2 linked regions of the Lonchura striata genome follow. The protein of the gene in region 1 binds, or shares a complex with, the protein of each later gene. Links are inferred from orthologs where the notes say so. Each region holds a gene or a part of one and is shown in the gene's direction. Other genes may lie near its edges.

What was found. The genes of interacting proteins can lie anywhere in the genome.
Region 2: the proteins of UBE2I (region 1) and RWDD3 are in contact, whole or in part, in a crystal structure (PDB 4Y1L), measured with the Homo sapiens proteins. The link is inferred for Lonchura striata from reciprocal best matches to the Homo sapiens genes UBE2I and RWDD3. Residues at the interface, in NP_003336.1 of Homo sapiens: Leu6, Ser7, Ala10, Gln11, Arg13, Lys14, Arg17, Lys30, Gly34, Thr35, Met36, Leu38; in NP_056300.3 of Homo sapiens: Glu3, Pro4, Glu7, Ser10, Val11, Ala13, Ala14, Ile15, Cys17, Pro98, His101, Glu102, Leu105.

Annotation. Positions count from the first base shown.
Region 1 is NC_134618.1:17,602,649-17,609,807, forward strand, and holds the start of UBE2I (SUMO-conjugating enzyme UBC9), read left to right. Parts: upstream 1-4,059; 5' UTR 4,060-4,509; coding exon 4,510-4,565; intron 4,566-6,910; coding exon 6,911-6,989; intron 6,990-7,159. UniProt on the Homo sapiens protein: Accepts the ubiquitin-like proteins SUMO1, SUMO2, SUMO3, SUMO4 and SUMO1P1/SUMO5 from the UBLE1A-UBLE1B E1 complex and catalyzes their covalent attachment to other proteins with the help of an E3 ligase such as RANBP2, CBX4 and ZNF451.
Region 2 is NC_134611.1:21,409,744-21,417,587, forward strand, and holds the start of RWDD3 (RWD domain-containing protein 3), read left to right. Parts: upstream 1-4,747; 5' UTR 4,748-4,762; coding exon 4,763-4,847; intron 4,848-5,119; exon of another isoform or gene 5,120-5,547; coding exon of another isoform or gene 5,548-5,554; intron 5,555-7,844. UniProt on the Homo sapiens protein: Enhancer of SUMO conjugation.

The DNA of each region.
Region 1 (7,159 bases):
TAAAAAACAACTAGTCCATTTCAACTCATGGACTCTAAAATATTTTTTACAAATGTCTGAACCAATTGCATATGTAAGTGTTCCTATATGGCTTGGATTTTCAGTATCCAGATGGGGTAAGAGCACACTAGAGAAGACAGTACACTTACCGTCCACTTTATTATTGCCTTTGCTGAAATATAACAACTTTTATGAACAGCACTGGTAATAGAGAAGCTTTGAGGAAGATTCTGCCCCAGGAAATTGTCACAGAATATTTCTTTGCAACTTAGTTGAACTTTACTTAATGATGTCTGCCAAGGCATAAACTTCTCAGAAGTTCAGTGAGTAGATACTTCTGCAAATACAGCTTTCTGGAGGCTGTCTGGAAAGACATTTCACAATAACTTGAGGATATTGTATCTTAATAAGTACTATAACAAGAGAAACTTTTTTTAAAGTCATTTTGCTACTTTGGGGGTGAGTGGAAAGGGAAGAGGTTCTGTGACAGAGCTCTCCTTGCCTTAGAAAGCTAAGCCTAAATTTTGACCCAAGACCTGTTGTGATTTTGAGGCCTTGTCATCTGAAATGAGTAAAGAGTAAGAATAAAAGTATTTATTATCTATATGATTCTTGCTACTTTTGAAGATTCTCCAAAAGCTTATGCACAACTTTACTCACATTAACTTGGCTCATGTGTACTTGCTAGAAAGAAGCAAGTGCCAAGGCCCTCTTAAAAGGAATGTTACCAACCTCTCTACTGGAATTAGATCACCGGACTGAAGCAGTATCAAATGGCAGCTTTTTCCACCTGCTTCTTACCTCAACCTAGCTGTGAGAAATCAACTTCCTGTGCACTCTTTAGGATCACCTACCCAATTCAACATTTTTTTTCTTTTTAACCTTTCCCTCCAAATCACTGGTCTCAAAATTAGTTGTGCATCAGCTGTTTGTGCTTATACCCAAGTGGCCATACTTGCAACATGTCATTTCCTGGATAGTGGATTAGCAATAACACTTTATTTTGTGCCAATTCATTATCTCTGAAGTGTTCTTACTGCAGCAAAATTTGAGTTAGGATTTGGTTTTAATGCATTTGCATTAACCAAAACTCATAGCACAGACACTAGACAAGAAACTGAAGAAACTGAAATTTCCAGGGAAATTTCCCTGGAAAAAAATCTGCTAGGGCTTCCCAAATAATTTGAAGGTGGTTACAGTTAACCATCACTTTCAAAACAAACAAATGAAATGTGTATGGGTATTTTTTTAACTTCCTTTTCATAACACTAGTGTATTGTAAATTGCATGAAATAAACCTGGTTTTTCCCTTTTAAAGTGTGATGTCTTACATCTGTCTTTTCTAAATGCACTAATTGATATTAATAGTGTCATATCCTGTGACAATTCTAGTTTAGCACTTGAGATGTAAAATGTAGTTGCACATTTGTGCAGTGATTCAAAGCATTAATGCTTTCTTCTCTGTAAAGAAGTATCCTTTACTGCTGCCCCAAAGACTTTGTCACAAAAAAGTTAGGTCTATTCAGATATATATCAGTTGGGAAATTATTTTCCTTTGCAGTTGCTGTGACATGCTGGTTATTGTAGGAGGAAATAGTTGTCTCTTCTATGGATATATAATCACATGAAAAAGTTTTAACTAATGACTTTGCTTACATTTTCTTTTGCACAACTCAAAAACCACCCTGCCTAACAGCAAACATTCTAGAATCCGCTAGTTTGCTTTTTAATATAAGTGCTTCCTTTGTTTGAAAAACGAAGCTATTGGAAATTGATGCTTTGTAATAAGTCAAACATATAATAAGTTTCAAGGATAGAAATGGCTTAAGGAAGTAAACTATAAGTACAAAGTACAGGTTGTTGAAATTATCCAGGAAATTTGACAGTTGTGTCCTCTACAACTATAGAAAAGTTTATAATTGAGTATTAGTATTGAGAAGACCACTGGACAGCTCTTACTTCCCAAACTGCTAGTAAGAACTTGAGAAGCTAAGACCCATGATTTTTAAATTCCTAAAGCCTCTATAGTTACATGTGAAGCAAATTTCATCTTAACAGTTTAGTCAGTTTTAAGTGCAAAGCACATTCTATTATTTCCTTGTATATTCAGCAACATCAGTAAAATTCTAATTTTACTAAACTGTTTTGCTGCATTTAATTGCATTTGAATTTTACTAAAATAAGTGCTAAGAACAAACACTGCTGTAGTAATCAAGTATAGCAATTACAGTAATTAAGTAATCAGTGTGTGCACCTGTATTTTCATCAGACTGTCCTACTAAAAATATTTATATTTTAGAGTCAGCCAGCACGACTTTCAATCCAAATTCATATTCTATATACCTGTTGCTGTGTTTTCGCCATTTAGGAAAAATGAGAGCACAAAAGAGACAAGTGTCTACCCTGAACTAGAAACCAGGTTATAAAGGGGACATAAACAACTTAGTCATTAGCAACCTGTTTTGATCTTTTATAACATCTAGGGTTCATTTGGCACTAGTTTTCATTTCAGTGAGAAGTTTCACTTCAAAAAGATGAAAATGATCCTGCAAATTCACCGTTTTGGGTGCTGTTCATCTTTCAGTGTGCTGAACTCTTGCCTCATAAGTCATACACACATGTATGTGACATTCTCAGAGACTGTAATGTGTACAATTTCGTGAGAGAGGTCCTGCAAGCCAGGTGTTGACAGTTTCCACTGCTTTTCATGTCACTGTGTGGAAAGTTACACAGGGGAGTATGTATTTATCCTGGTCTACAGTGTGCATTTGCCCCTGTTGAAAGGTTTCTTAGGTAGAGTGATCTTTGCTGAAGATTTTGATTAGGGCTGATTGGAATCCAGGTGATTATTTATTGAAATAGTCAATCCTAGACTTCTGAAGAAACCATTTTGAGCATTAATACTACATAGAACATCTTTCAAGTAACATTGATACAGACTAGCACAAGGCAGCGATTTCAGGACTAAAAATTCCTCAGTTTCATTAAGAAAGACAAGTTCAAGATGGGAATAGAATGTGATTCATACTCCACTTGCCATTTAAAATGTGTTCTTAGAAACCCAAACAACATCCCTCCCACTCGTCCCCCGCCAAGGAAACCAAACCCAGGTCAGAAATCCCGTAAAGGTCAGCGAAAGCAGCGCGGGCCGGAGGCGAACGCAGCCCGCCCCCGAGCGGCTGCCGGCTCCGATAGGCCGCCGGGCCCGGCCGCCGCCGCGGGAGTGCCGCGGGAGCCGCGGCCCCGCCCCGCGGGCCCGGCCGGGCAGGGGCGGGGCTCGGCCCGGCTGGAGCGCGGCCCGCAGACCCGAGCGCGCCGGCGACACACCAGGCCTTCGGAAGCGACAGGCGGCTCCCGGAGCGCCAGAGGTAAAGGTTGATTCGGCTCTCGGCCGGAGCGGGGCAGCGGAAGGCACGGGAGGTGCTCGGCTTCGGTGTAGCCCTGCGGAGGGGTTTCTAGTGTTCCGTACTCAGGCACTGCTGGGGGCACCTCTGGGTCCTGTGTCGTGAGGATGCGCAAAGCGTGACGATGGGATCACAGACGGATCGGGCCGAGGGACAGAATAGCGCTTTCGCGCTCGTCGGCGAGGCGAGAGGGAGGGAAACTCCGGAGTGGAGACAAAGCGGCGGGAGCGGGAACATCCGGGTCACTGACGCGGCCTCGATCCGGGACACGCGCGGCGGCGGCGGCTCTCGGTGAGGCCCGCCCGGGAGTGGGGCCGCGGCGGCCCCGGGGTCGGGGAGCGGGGCCGGGCCGGGCGGGCGCCCCCCGCCTACGGCGGGACGGGACGGGAGCGGCGGATGGACGTGCGGGCCTGGCGACTGCTGCCTTGTGGCCGGGCCGGCCGGCGCGGCGCGGCGCTGCCCGCCGGAGGTTCCGAGCGGCTCGCAGCTCTTGGCGGTGGCGGGCGGAGGTCGCCGAGCGGGGCGTGGAGCCGCTCGGTCTGCGCGGTCCGTCCCGCCCCGCCGGGTGGCTGCCCGGGAGCGGCGGGCGGGCCCGCGGTGCCCCGTGCAGGCCTTGGGCGCTGCCTCGGCCCCTCGCGGGGCCGACGGGACCGGCGGCCCTCGGTGGTGGCGGGCGGGCCTCGGCCCTGTCCGCTCACTTGGCCGTCGAACACCGAGCCCATCGCCGCGCGGCATCTTCTGTTGTTTAATGAGCGACTCCGGTCGCCGCTCGGCCTCTTCTACCTTTCTTGCCGCAAGCAGAGGAGACTTTCTATCCTAGTCCAGAGTTAGCGTGCTTTGACTAAAGCTTAGACCGTGGCTTTCTCCACCCTTCTGAAAAATAAAGTTGCAATAGTTCGGGGCAAACTATTTCGATAATACTGACTTTCTATGTCAGTATTTAACCTGCAAAGTAAAAAATGAGGCTAGCAATCTTAACGTTTTGGGGACTTTTTTTCTTGCTGCTTGGAATCAATAAGTCGTACTGAAAGTTCTTGAACCTCAAAGAGCATATTGTTGATGTATTTAGAGAGTTGTTTGTGGCACAGGAACGATTCCTTGCGAGATGTGCGTTTTGTGTCTGAAAGTAGGTTATTCCACCTCATCGGAGAGTGTAAATGGGTAAGATATTCTGTAATGGGACACAAAAATTTGCATTTATGATAAGCGTGATGATTTTATTTCGTCCTTTTTTTAAAATAGGCAGTAGCAGCAGCAAAGGCAAGCTATTGAGTAAATTTGGAAGTTTCTGTTAACTTTCTGAGTTGATGGCAGTAAAAGGGACATTACTACCTCTTAATGGCAGGGGTGAATTTGGGGGATTCAACTCAAAACGTGAAGAGTGGTCTCTTTGACTTTCATGGCATGTGCCACAAAATAGAATTGAATAGACTTCCTCTGGTGTAAAATTCTTTCTGTTAATGTAGTACATAAATAGATTGGGATATAGAGAGTTTATATTGCCAGTTAGCTTGTGAAGGGATGCTTAACTAATGGGATCTTAGTTTGTGAAATGAGCTTTCAGTCTTGTTTAATCTTTATTTTCTGTTAGACTGATGAGGTTTTAGCTGCTCGTCAGTGTAACTGAAGTCTATGGAAACCATATATGTGAAGCTTGTTGTCTGTCATACATGCTGAAATTTTTCAGTGCTTAACTAAGTCTAATGCCTCAAGATTTGGAAAGTTATTTGTAGACCATTAGAAAAACCTTTATTGTACTAAGGCACAGTATAGTGTGTAAGAAAAGCAAGTACTCGGGATTTTTTTTTTTTTTTCAATTACTCAAAAAGTTACTGGGTTACTGATGTTCTGCAGAAGATCCGCTGCTTATTTACCCAGTGAGAAACTGGCGTTTCCCTTGAGGTTCATGTTGTAATTAATTGGCTGTTAGCCACAGGAAATGGAATAAATATATTTGAAAGCATCCTGTAATGCATTTTTTTGGCAGAAAAGGTAGCTGAGTTTGGTGAACTATGTGGGAATATTTGGATGGTTTATAAGCAAATATGCCTGTGATGGGAAAGTTAGTATTGGTACAGTGGACTACCAGGTACCAAAGGCACAGCTGAAATTCTGCTGTACATTCAGTTCATTTACATCTCTTACAACATATTAAAACTTGCTCATGACATAGTAAAACTTGCAGCCTGTATAATTTGGTTAAGGGAGAGGATTTTTGTTGTCTTTGGTTTCTTGGGTTTTTTTTCAGTTCTACTGGTATTTTTTTCAATGGCTCTGCATCTCCAGCTTGTGAGCAGACTAAAATCTGAAGTCATGTGTACACATTCCCTAAGTCCTGCAAGTCTTCTGCCATAATTAATACAGAGGTGGATGTGTTGGGACTACTGGAGGAAAATCAGACTGAACATAGGAATATTTTTGTGTGTGTGCATGTCCACTGAGTGTGAATTGTCCCTTTTAAAAAGCTTTATCTGACATTAATTTAGTTGCTACTTTGAAAGTGAATTAGGGAATATGGCCATCTAGGCAAAACAGTCTTAAAAGGTTGGAGAACAGATTTAAAATAGATATTGTTCTAGGAACTGCATAAGCTGCTTAAAGTTCTACAATTCATATGCTTATAATAGTAGTAGACTGCAGTACTTCTTATAAATAATCAACATATTGAGAGGTTGTGAAATTTTGCATAATCCTTAACCAGTGTATAAGGGTTTGTTTTAATAGAGTGGTAACACTGCTGAGAGTCACTCTGTGAGCTCAAGTGGAAGCATTCTACTATTCTGCTGTCAAAAAGGTTTATTATGGTGGTTACCATGCTTGGCTATTACTAAGGCCGTGAAGGTTCAGAAATAGTCTTCAGTTTATACTGGAATTGAAAATCTGTCTTGTGCAATGAGCTGCTGGCTCTTCCTTAGCTAAGTTGCTGCCTGTTCCTGATGTTGTCTAGAAGTTTTATAGCAGCATCACTGCAAAACTGAGATGACTTTGTTAAATTCTATGCCCCTGTTGCTTTTGTGGGGAATACTGGCTTTCAATGGGAATTTACCCAAAAAGTAGTATTTCTTATTCCCATTTGCAGAAATGGGAGTAATACAGGTGTTTGCCTACAGAAGAAACTTGCCATATTGCATGTGGTGTAGGAGGGAGATAAAGAGTGTGTCATTTGCACAAGTAGGAAGTCTGCACACTTTTTCCATTACTAATACTGTTTCTATTGTCAAACTACTGTCAAAGTTTCTTCGAAGATGGGGTTCAAATATAAAACAATAAGGTAAGAATGGAATTTTGTAGGTCATGTCCAGTAACTAAGAACTTGATGGCATAGGGAAATTTGATGTTATTCCTGATGATAAATTCTGCCAGCTGTGAGAAACATGTGGCTAGGTTATTGAAGTGAAAATGAGAGGTCAAAATTACTCTTGAGTGAGCAGGGGCTTATAAACACATAATGCATTGTTTATGCTATAAGTTAAAGTATATGCTAACAGCAATTACTTTTGTTTCAGAGGGACTCTGAATATGTCTGGCATAGCTCTTAGCAGACTTGCACAGGAGAGAAAAGCCTGGAGAAAAGATCATCCGTTTGTAAGTACCAAAGCCACCAAATCTGACTGCAATTGTTTCAGTGTTCTGGTGATGATTTTTTCATTACCCTGATAGGATTTTTTTTTAAATTAAAATAATTATTTTTAAATTGAAAAAAAAAGTAGTGCAAAAAGAAGTAACTTTGTGTAAAGATAAAATATTTTATGAAG
Region 2 (7,844 bases), on another chromosome or scaffold:
TTACATAATTTATTTACCATCAGGACTTTAATGTGCTCTGTAAATTTGGAGTCGCAAATGCACTAATGAATACTGTTCTGCTTTCAAAAGGTGTGAGAGTGACAAAGGACCTCTCAGTGCTCTGAAAATGGTCATAAATAGTCTGTCATCTTATGCACTCCCATTGTGTTTGTTCTGCTCTTGTATCAAAGTGCAGGGGAAGAGGAGCTAATGTGCCAAATTACAAAACATGAAGGCAGGTTGCTGTAGCTCAGCAGCTAAAAATGAACTGCCAGACTAAGAAGTACTTCCTAATATTTGGACTTCTACTAAAGTTTGTTTTTTATAGAGGGTAGAAATGCCTCTTTCAGAGCCATCACTTTAAAGACTTCTGTTCTCAGCACTGACTAAATGATATGGCCTGCTAATTCTCAGCCTCCTTTGCTTACACCTGGAGGAGAAGCCATGTGTAGTAAGGTTCCACAAGCCAATGTACTTGATGTGGAAGCTGAACATTTTGAGACTAGAATATAGTACTCAATGCTAGATGTGCCTATCTCCTCAGTATCATACCCTTTCCTACCCACAAGTATCTTTACATATGTTACTTTAAAAAATGCACAGGATTGCTAGCTTTTTACAGATTTTTAGTAGGCAACTTCATCCATTTTCACTCTCACTGAAAGAAAATGTATTCTGTTTATCATTCTACCTCTGTACAAGGTAAATTGCATGCAAAGATATTTATGCAGTGAATCAAGTAAGTATTGATTCTCTCATCAGTGGAATCTGTGGTCATATTAGACATGTCAGGTCATAAAAAGCAACCATTTTAGTTTGCATTAGATGGCTAATTGCTTTTATATGCATCTCCTTCAAGAAAAAATGGCATGTCAAACTCCTAAAGGAATAATCATATTTTTTATGAATGTGATAGTTACATTATTTGGTCTTACTACTTGTACATCACATTGCATAGAAACTTCTGGGCAGAAGGTACTGCAGACCTTATTGTGGGGCCTTGGCCATGTGTGAAATGACATGTTGTTACCAGGGAGCCACAGATTCCAGTGGCAGCTCCCCACAATAGGGGTCTGCCTATTTGCAGTGTGGGTACATACTTTTGACTGGAGTCAGAATTAATCCAATTTTCAAAGGATTATGTAAATTTATTGGAAGTTATTAGGATAGTTATTAGGCTTCATTAAGAAAATTGAAAAGATTAGATTATTTCTGTTGCTGATATTCAGTTTGGACCATGGCCTCTCTCATAAAATAGAAACCATCACATTTGTTTTCTACATATTATGGGGAAAAAAAAAGACTGTAATGTGTTTTGTTTTCCAGTGTTATGCCAATTTTGTAGTAACTACAGAAAGTTTTAGCTATTTTGCTAGCATGCTGCTGTTCTTGCCTCCAGCTTCTGAAGACTATGACCCCATAAACCTCCTGTCTGCAGAGATAGCTAATGCTTTAATTGATCATTAGTACACTTTCAAAATGAGTTTCCATCTGCCAAAAGATTAAGTGTCTCAGGGAATTGACTGAGAGCAGTTTGATGCATGGAGGATAAATGCAAGTGCCTTTAAAAAGCACTGCTAGATCACAAATCCTTGAAAAACTTGGTTCTAAAATACTTAAAAGGAAAAGTAATAGAAAAGGTTTTTCCTCTGCTTTGTTTTTCCCTCAAATTAAGTATTTTTTTATATATCACTGAGAATTTGTTGCCTCATTTTCAAGAACTGAAAAGCAAAACCTCATGAAAATGCTGAATTTAACCTTAGAGCAAAGCAAGCAATTTTTGGCAGCTTTAATTTGCAATGTAAATTTTTTGTTAAATGAGTTTATTTCAACTGTAAAAAAAACACAGGAGAAAAAAAAGGAAAACTTTTCCACTAGTTGTACTTAAGAATACTAGGAGAAAAATACTTCTGTCTTTTATCATGTATTTTCACATTTACTGGGTTTGCTTCTTTTTCTGTTTCCTTCAAGCTTTTGCCTTAGTTTATTTGGAGAGATTTTTTTACAAGTTTCCTGTTGGTTTCTCTCTGTCATTTTTGTACAAGCCGCTTTGGGTAAGACTTCTACCACTGCAATAACACAATTGTTTTTAGAGAAATGGTAGCTTCTTTCTCAGGTCTCTGAAAAAGCATTGCTATTAACTCGGGTAAGGACAGTTCTGACAATGCCATTCTGGCTGCATTAGAGCTGGCAGCAGTGTGGTATCAGAAAATACAGGCACTGCAGCTGTCCTGCAGCAGTGACAAAAGGCAGAAGTGGTTTGTGTTGCACTGGTCAGCTGTCAACTTCCCGTGGTTATGGATTCCTCATTCCTTATGTGGTCTTGTGAGCCCCAAATGGGCACCTGCAGTGACTTTAGACTTCCTTGTGTCCTTTAATGTCTTCTGCAGGATGTGCTTTTAGCTCTGCCTGCAGTTACGATCGCGGAGGTGGCAAAGGGCCTGGCATGGAACTGATGGTAAAAAGATACAGATGGATATTCCAAATTTACTTTTTTCCAAATGTCTGTCTACTCCTCCTCTGATTTGCCACTCAGGTTATGGCAAAACTGGTCTAAATGCACCATTTTGTGTATATTCACTAGTGGTTGTTGAAACAACACCCAATTGAGGCTGTAATTACAGTGAGTGGAAGGCAAAGGATACTGCTTTTGCAAATAACCCTGGGAAGATTAATCTAACCTATGTATGAAGGGTTGCAATCTCTTTGCCTTGTCCGGCAAAGTGGAAGATACTGGTGGCACAATTGTTCTGTGACAGGATCTTGGAGCTGGTTTAATATAGGCTGACTAAAAAGTGAAACTTTTTTTTTAAACTTTATTTGCCACATGTTGATGGGGAAGTATCCATTTAGAGAATATGGCTACAATTCTATCAAACACTTCAATGCTTGAAAAAATAAAGAGCGGAAATAAGATCTTGACTTTCAATTTCATAATAATGCAATATGAAGGCCAGATTGTAACTGTAGATGTTCATTTCAAATTTAAATATTTAGCATTTTCAGTTGTCTGTGAATACATGAAAATTTATTACATTAAGATGGAATTTAGATCTTTGACATGAAGCTGATATTTTCATAGACTGAAAAATATCAAGCTGACATTATACTGTCTCATTTGATGACTTCCAAATGTCAGAGTGCAGTAACTTATTCATAGGGACCACCATGTCTTGTGATAGTGTCAATTCAAAAGACATTTACATCGACTTTTTTATTTAAACAGGTAAAATGGAATATGCAGAGTGGCAGAGGAGAAGGGGGAAAGACCAGGGCAAGGAAGTTCTTAATAATGGAATGGAGGCACTTCTAAGGCTAATTTCCACCACAGCCTTCTTCCTGACAGCAGCCTGGCTGTGCTGCTCCCTCCCAGCATCTTCCTCCTCCCCTGCCCAGCCAGCTCTTAGTCCTTGTTATTTCAACACAACTTAGGGGGTTAGAAATACCAGGATATACTCTCCTAAGAAGTACCCCCACCACAGCCCTTGCTTTTAAAAGAGATTTTGTAATAATGGGACATACTGGATGATTTTGCCTGGGAGTTAATATGCCTATATAACTTAGATCAAAATTACAATGTGCTTATATAGCTTGAGTTACAAGATACCAGTATAGCCTGATGTATCTATATAACCTGATATCAATATAACTTAAATAATTACTTTTTATATATCTATATAACTTGCTATCTAGATAACCTGAATCAGTTTTTTATATCTATATAACCTGATATAAATAACTTTTTATACAATGTAATATCTAGCATATGGTTAACTAGTTGTTTAATGCTGAATAGACAAAAAAGAAGAAAAAACATGTCAGGTGGATAGCTTCAGAGACAGGTAAGTATAGTACTAATGAAAAATTGGCAAATGCAAAGCCAACTGGCCACAAAACAAAGAATTTAGGCCAGTCAAGACCAGACCCAGGAACACTGTAACTGCGCATGCTCCAAAGACAAAGTTGAATAGTTCAGATGTGAAGAAGACCTTGGAAGCCTTCGTCAAAGACCTCCGATGAGCCCTGAACTGGGGAGGCACAAGCCTCTCTAATGGTCTAATAACCATGAGATCATATTATGTAATGTATGGTGCCTATATGATGTTGTAGTGACACAGCACCACTAAGCACCAGTTCCTGTATAAACGTACCACAGCCCGTGACAAAGGTGGGTCAGCAGGTAGAGATATCCTCCTCACCACCAGGCTGCTGTGAACAAATACTTGCTCTGTAGACATTGCTCTCTGAGGATTTATTTCCAGCCTATCTTCCAGGCATCATAATGGTACTGTTGGCACAGCGCTCCGCACCTTGGGGCAGGGACGGAGATTCAGGTTCGGAGTGCTCGGGACTGGGCCGGGCGGACGGGAGGAGGGACAGGGACAGGGACAGGGCCGGGCGGACGGCAGGAGGGACAGGGACAGGGCCGGGCGGACGGCAGGAGGGACAGGGACAGGGCCGGGCGGACGGCAGGAGGGACAGGGACAGGGCGCGGGGCCGGGCGGACGGGAAGGAGGGGCAGGGACAGGGACAGGGCCGGGCGGACGGGAGGAGGGACAGGGACAGGGCGCGGGGCCGGGCGGACGGGAAGGAGGGACAGGGACAGGGCCGGGCGGACGGGAGGAGGGACAGGGACAGGGCGCGGGGCCGGGCGGAGCCGCCATTTTGTTCTCCTCCCTACGGCGCGGTCCGGGCCGGCGGCGCCCCCTGGCGGTGCAGGCCCCGCGGCCGGCAGGGGGCGCGGCGGCGCGCGCCGGCGGCCATGTCGGAGCTGGCGCGGGAGGAGCTGTCGGCGCTCGCCGCCATCTACTGCGAGCCGGGCGCCTGCGAGGTGCTGGCGGCCTCAGGTGATGCGGCCGCGCTCCCTGTCCACAGCCCGGGCTCTCCCGGCCCGACCCGGGCCCTGGAGGAAGCGCTCGGGGCCGCTCCCGGCGGGGCTCAGCACGGGCGCGGGGCTCGCCGCCGTCGCTTGCCGCGGGTCCCCGCCCCGCCGGTGTCTGCGCTGGCGCCTCGCTTGGGGCGCGGGGCCCGCGGGCCCTGCGCGGTTCTGGGCAGGGACCAGCCTGGGGCAGCGCAGGGGGCGGCTGGCTGCTCTCTGGGCAGACAGGCAGGTGAAGCTTGTTAACGAGACCGTGTATTTGTCTGGCAATACTGAGTAGGGTACAGCTGTTGCAGTGCGTGAGGAACATTGGGTTATCTCTGTATTTTTCTGGGTCAGCTGACTACCTGGGCACTGTGATGTGCCAGATGTTACTCCTGCTTCAGCCAGATGTGTACGGCTGTAGGTTTTACAGGGGACCCAGGCTGCTGTGCCGTGTCTGTCGGGGTTTGTAGTACTTGCTCCCATCAGCTGCTGGATGCTGTAGACAAGGAGTGCTGGGAGTGTAGATGCCGTGATGGTTTCTGCGCCACCTATGGTGACCACTGATCAGAACACAGTACTAAGAGATGTTTTTTTTCAGTCTGTGCAGTACAGTGTTGTGAAGATGCCCCTTCAGCATCAATCTCAGCAGTTCCAGTGTACAACAACAGCTCAGTCAGGCTTAAATGTCAGGTAGGATATGCAAGTGTTGGTGTCTAGATTCAGGCTTTTCCTAAATTTTGTGCCTACCACAGATGTGACAACTCGTAGATATTTTTTGGAGAGAGATACACATGCACATATCCACAAAGAGTAAGCCTGTATTGTGTACCGCAGGTCCCTGCTGTCTGGGAGCCTTTGCAGAGTTCTGCCCAGCACAGCGATGGACAGGGAGCAGCTTCCTGCTGGTTGGATGGCAGTGAAGTCCTGGGGAATGCTGCTAAAGATGCATGTAGGGGCCTGCTGTCAGATTTTGTCTGCACAGGTACCTATTCAGCCCTAAAGAACTGGGGTTGATAAGGAAACTTTTTTTACTGTGAGGGTGACTAAGTGCTGAGGGCTGCTGGGAGAAATTGTGGAGTCTCCCTCACTGGAGATATTCAGAATATGTGGATATTGTCCTGGGCAGCTGTGCTGCTGTAGGTGACTGCTTGAGGGGAGAGTTTGGATGAAGGCATTAATGTCTGCAGAGAGCACAATTAACCACAGTCATCTAAACCCACCAATTTTATATCTAGATATACATGACACACCTCCTGCTCCAGTGCAGGCATGTAAATCTGCCATTTAATTTTTTAAATTGGTATTTAGGGTTGTATCTTTAGAATATGATCGATGAAATGTTTCTACTGAGCTTTATTTTTAAGTGAAAAATTCCAAGAATGTTATTTTGGGCTTAGTTTGAAAAAGAAGTATCCAGGCTTATCAGATGTTAATCTAAAAAAACGTGAGCATATCTGAACATTGCACATACACATCTGTTCCTCTAAATCTTTTGAGAAATGCAGGCACGTTCTTCTCTGTGCTTCATATATGGAAAAATGATTTTGTATTTGTAAGTTACCGGAATCTAAAAGGTTTAAAACTCCTGCTGGACATAAAGTAAGGTGCCACAAGTGCACAATGGGAGTAGACTATTTATATTGATGTTATGTGATCTTGGAGGGCCTTTAACCAGGCTGTATTCATGATATGGTAAGATCAGGTATATTTGATAGGTTTGCATAGTTTTCTACTGGAATTGAAAAGACTATTTTACAATAATGATTATTGGTATTTTTCTTACTCTTGGAATTTACTTGTTGGAGCTGCAGAATCTCTAGTCAGTATACAATTAACTTGTGCTCCAGTCATTAGATTACATTTGCTTTATCTCTTCAAACCATGTAAATTGTCATTGACCAAGGGTGCACAGACATAACTTCCAGGAAGACTGTTATGTTATGCAATCTCTAAGACATTAAGAGTAATTTGTGTGTAGATCCATGGGATCAAAAAGGAGGCCACTGGGGATTTGTGGTTTTGAGGAATGTAAGAGAATGCTTTTACAGGTCTCTTGGTATGGTATAAACTTTGGCTTTTTGGAATTTAACAATGAAATATTCAGAATGTAAAATGTGTTTTTATCAAAACCAATGTGTGGATGAATTTAAATAAACTAATTACAGCATATCTTTTTTACCTTACATATCTATTTGCAAAGATTAGTGTTACAGATATAAATCCATCATTTAATTGTTAATCTCTTTCTTTTGGTCTGTTCACCAAGCTTGCTATAAAAATATATTTAGATATTCTAAGCTTGTACATTAGTAGGTGCCATTTTCTGAATTTAAAAATAGACTGCATGTGTTGCATAAAATGCCTTTGGGCAGGAGAGGAGGGGGATATCTGTCTGCTTGACATGGAACATAAGAAAAAAATCTGAAGTACGCTAGAGCTAAATATACTGATAAGCATGCTGCTATGGGGGGAAATGAGTTAAAATGTATTGAGTTTAGTCTGATTAGCACATTAAATGCCAGCAGAACAGTCATACCCAACCTTTTATTTCAGAAATAATCATCATGTTGCTGTGAAGACAACTCAGCCCTTGTAGCATGTGCAAACAAAGGAAATATTTCTTTGGAGCCAGGTTGCGCAGGGCGCCGGTGGTTTGCTCTTTGTTCTGCCAGTGTCTGCAGCGCTGGTGCAGAAAATGGACGCTGCAGGGTTTAAATAAACTTAGATGCTGTAGCCCTGCAAAGGTTTTGAACCGATTCTTCTTTTTGAAAGTAAGTCTGAAGCAGATGTAAATGAGCACAGCTGGGCTTTTCCTGATGGCTCAGGGTGATACACCTTGGGATGCGAGGCTGTTCTGCCTCCTTCAGATTAGTTCATCGCAAGGAAAGGTGTGAGATTTTTGCACGTTTAAGAATAACATCACTGCAGCAGGAGGCCCTTGTCGGAGGGGCAGGTTGGTCTGTCTATCCCTCTGTTGCTT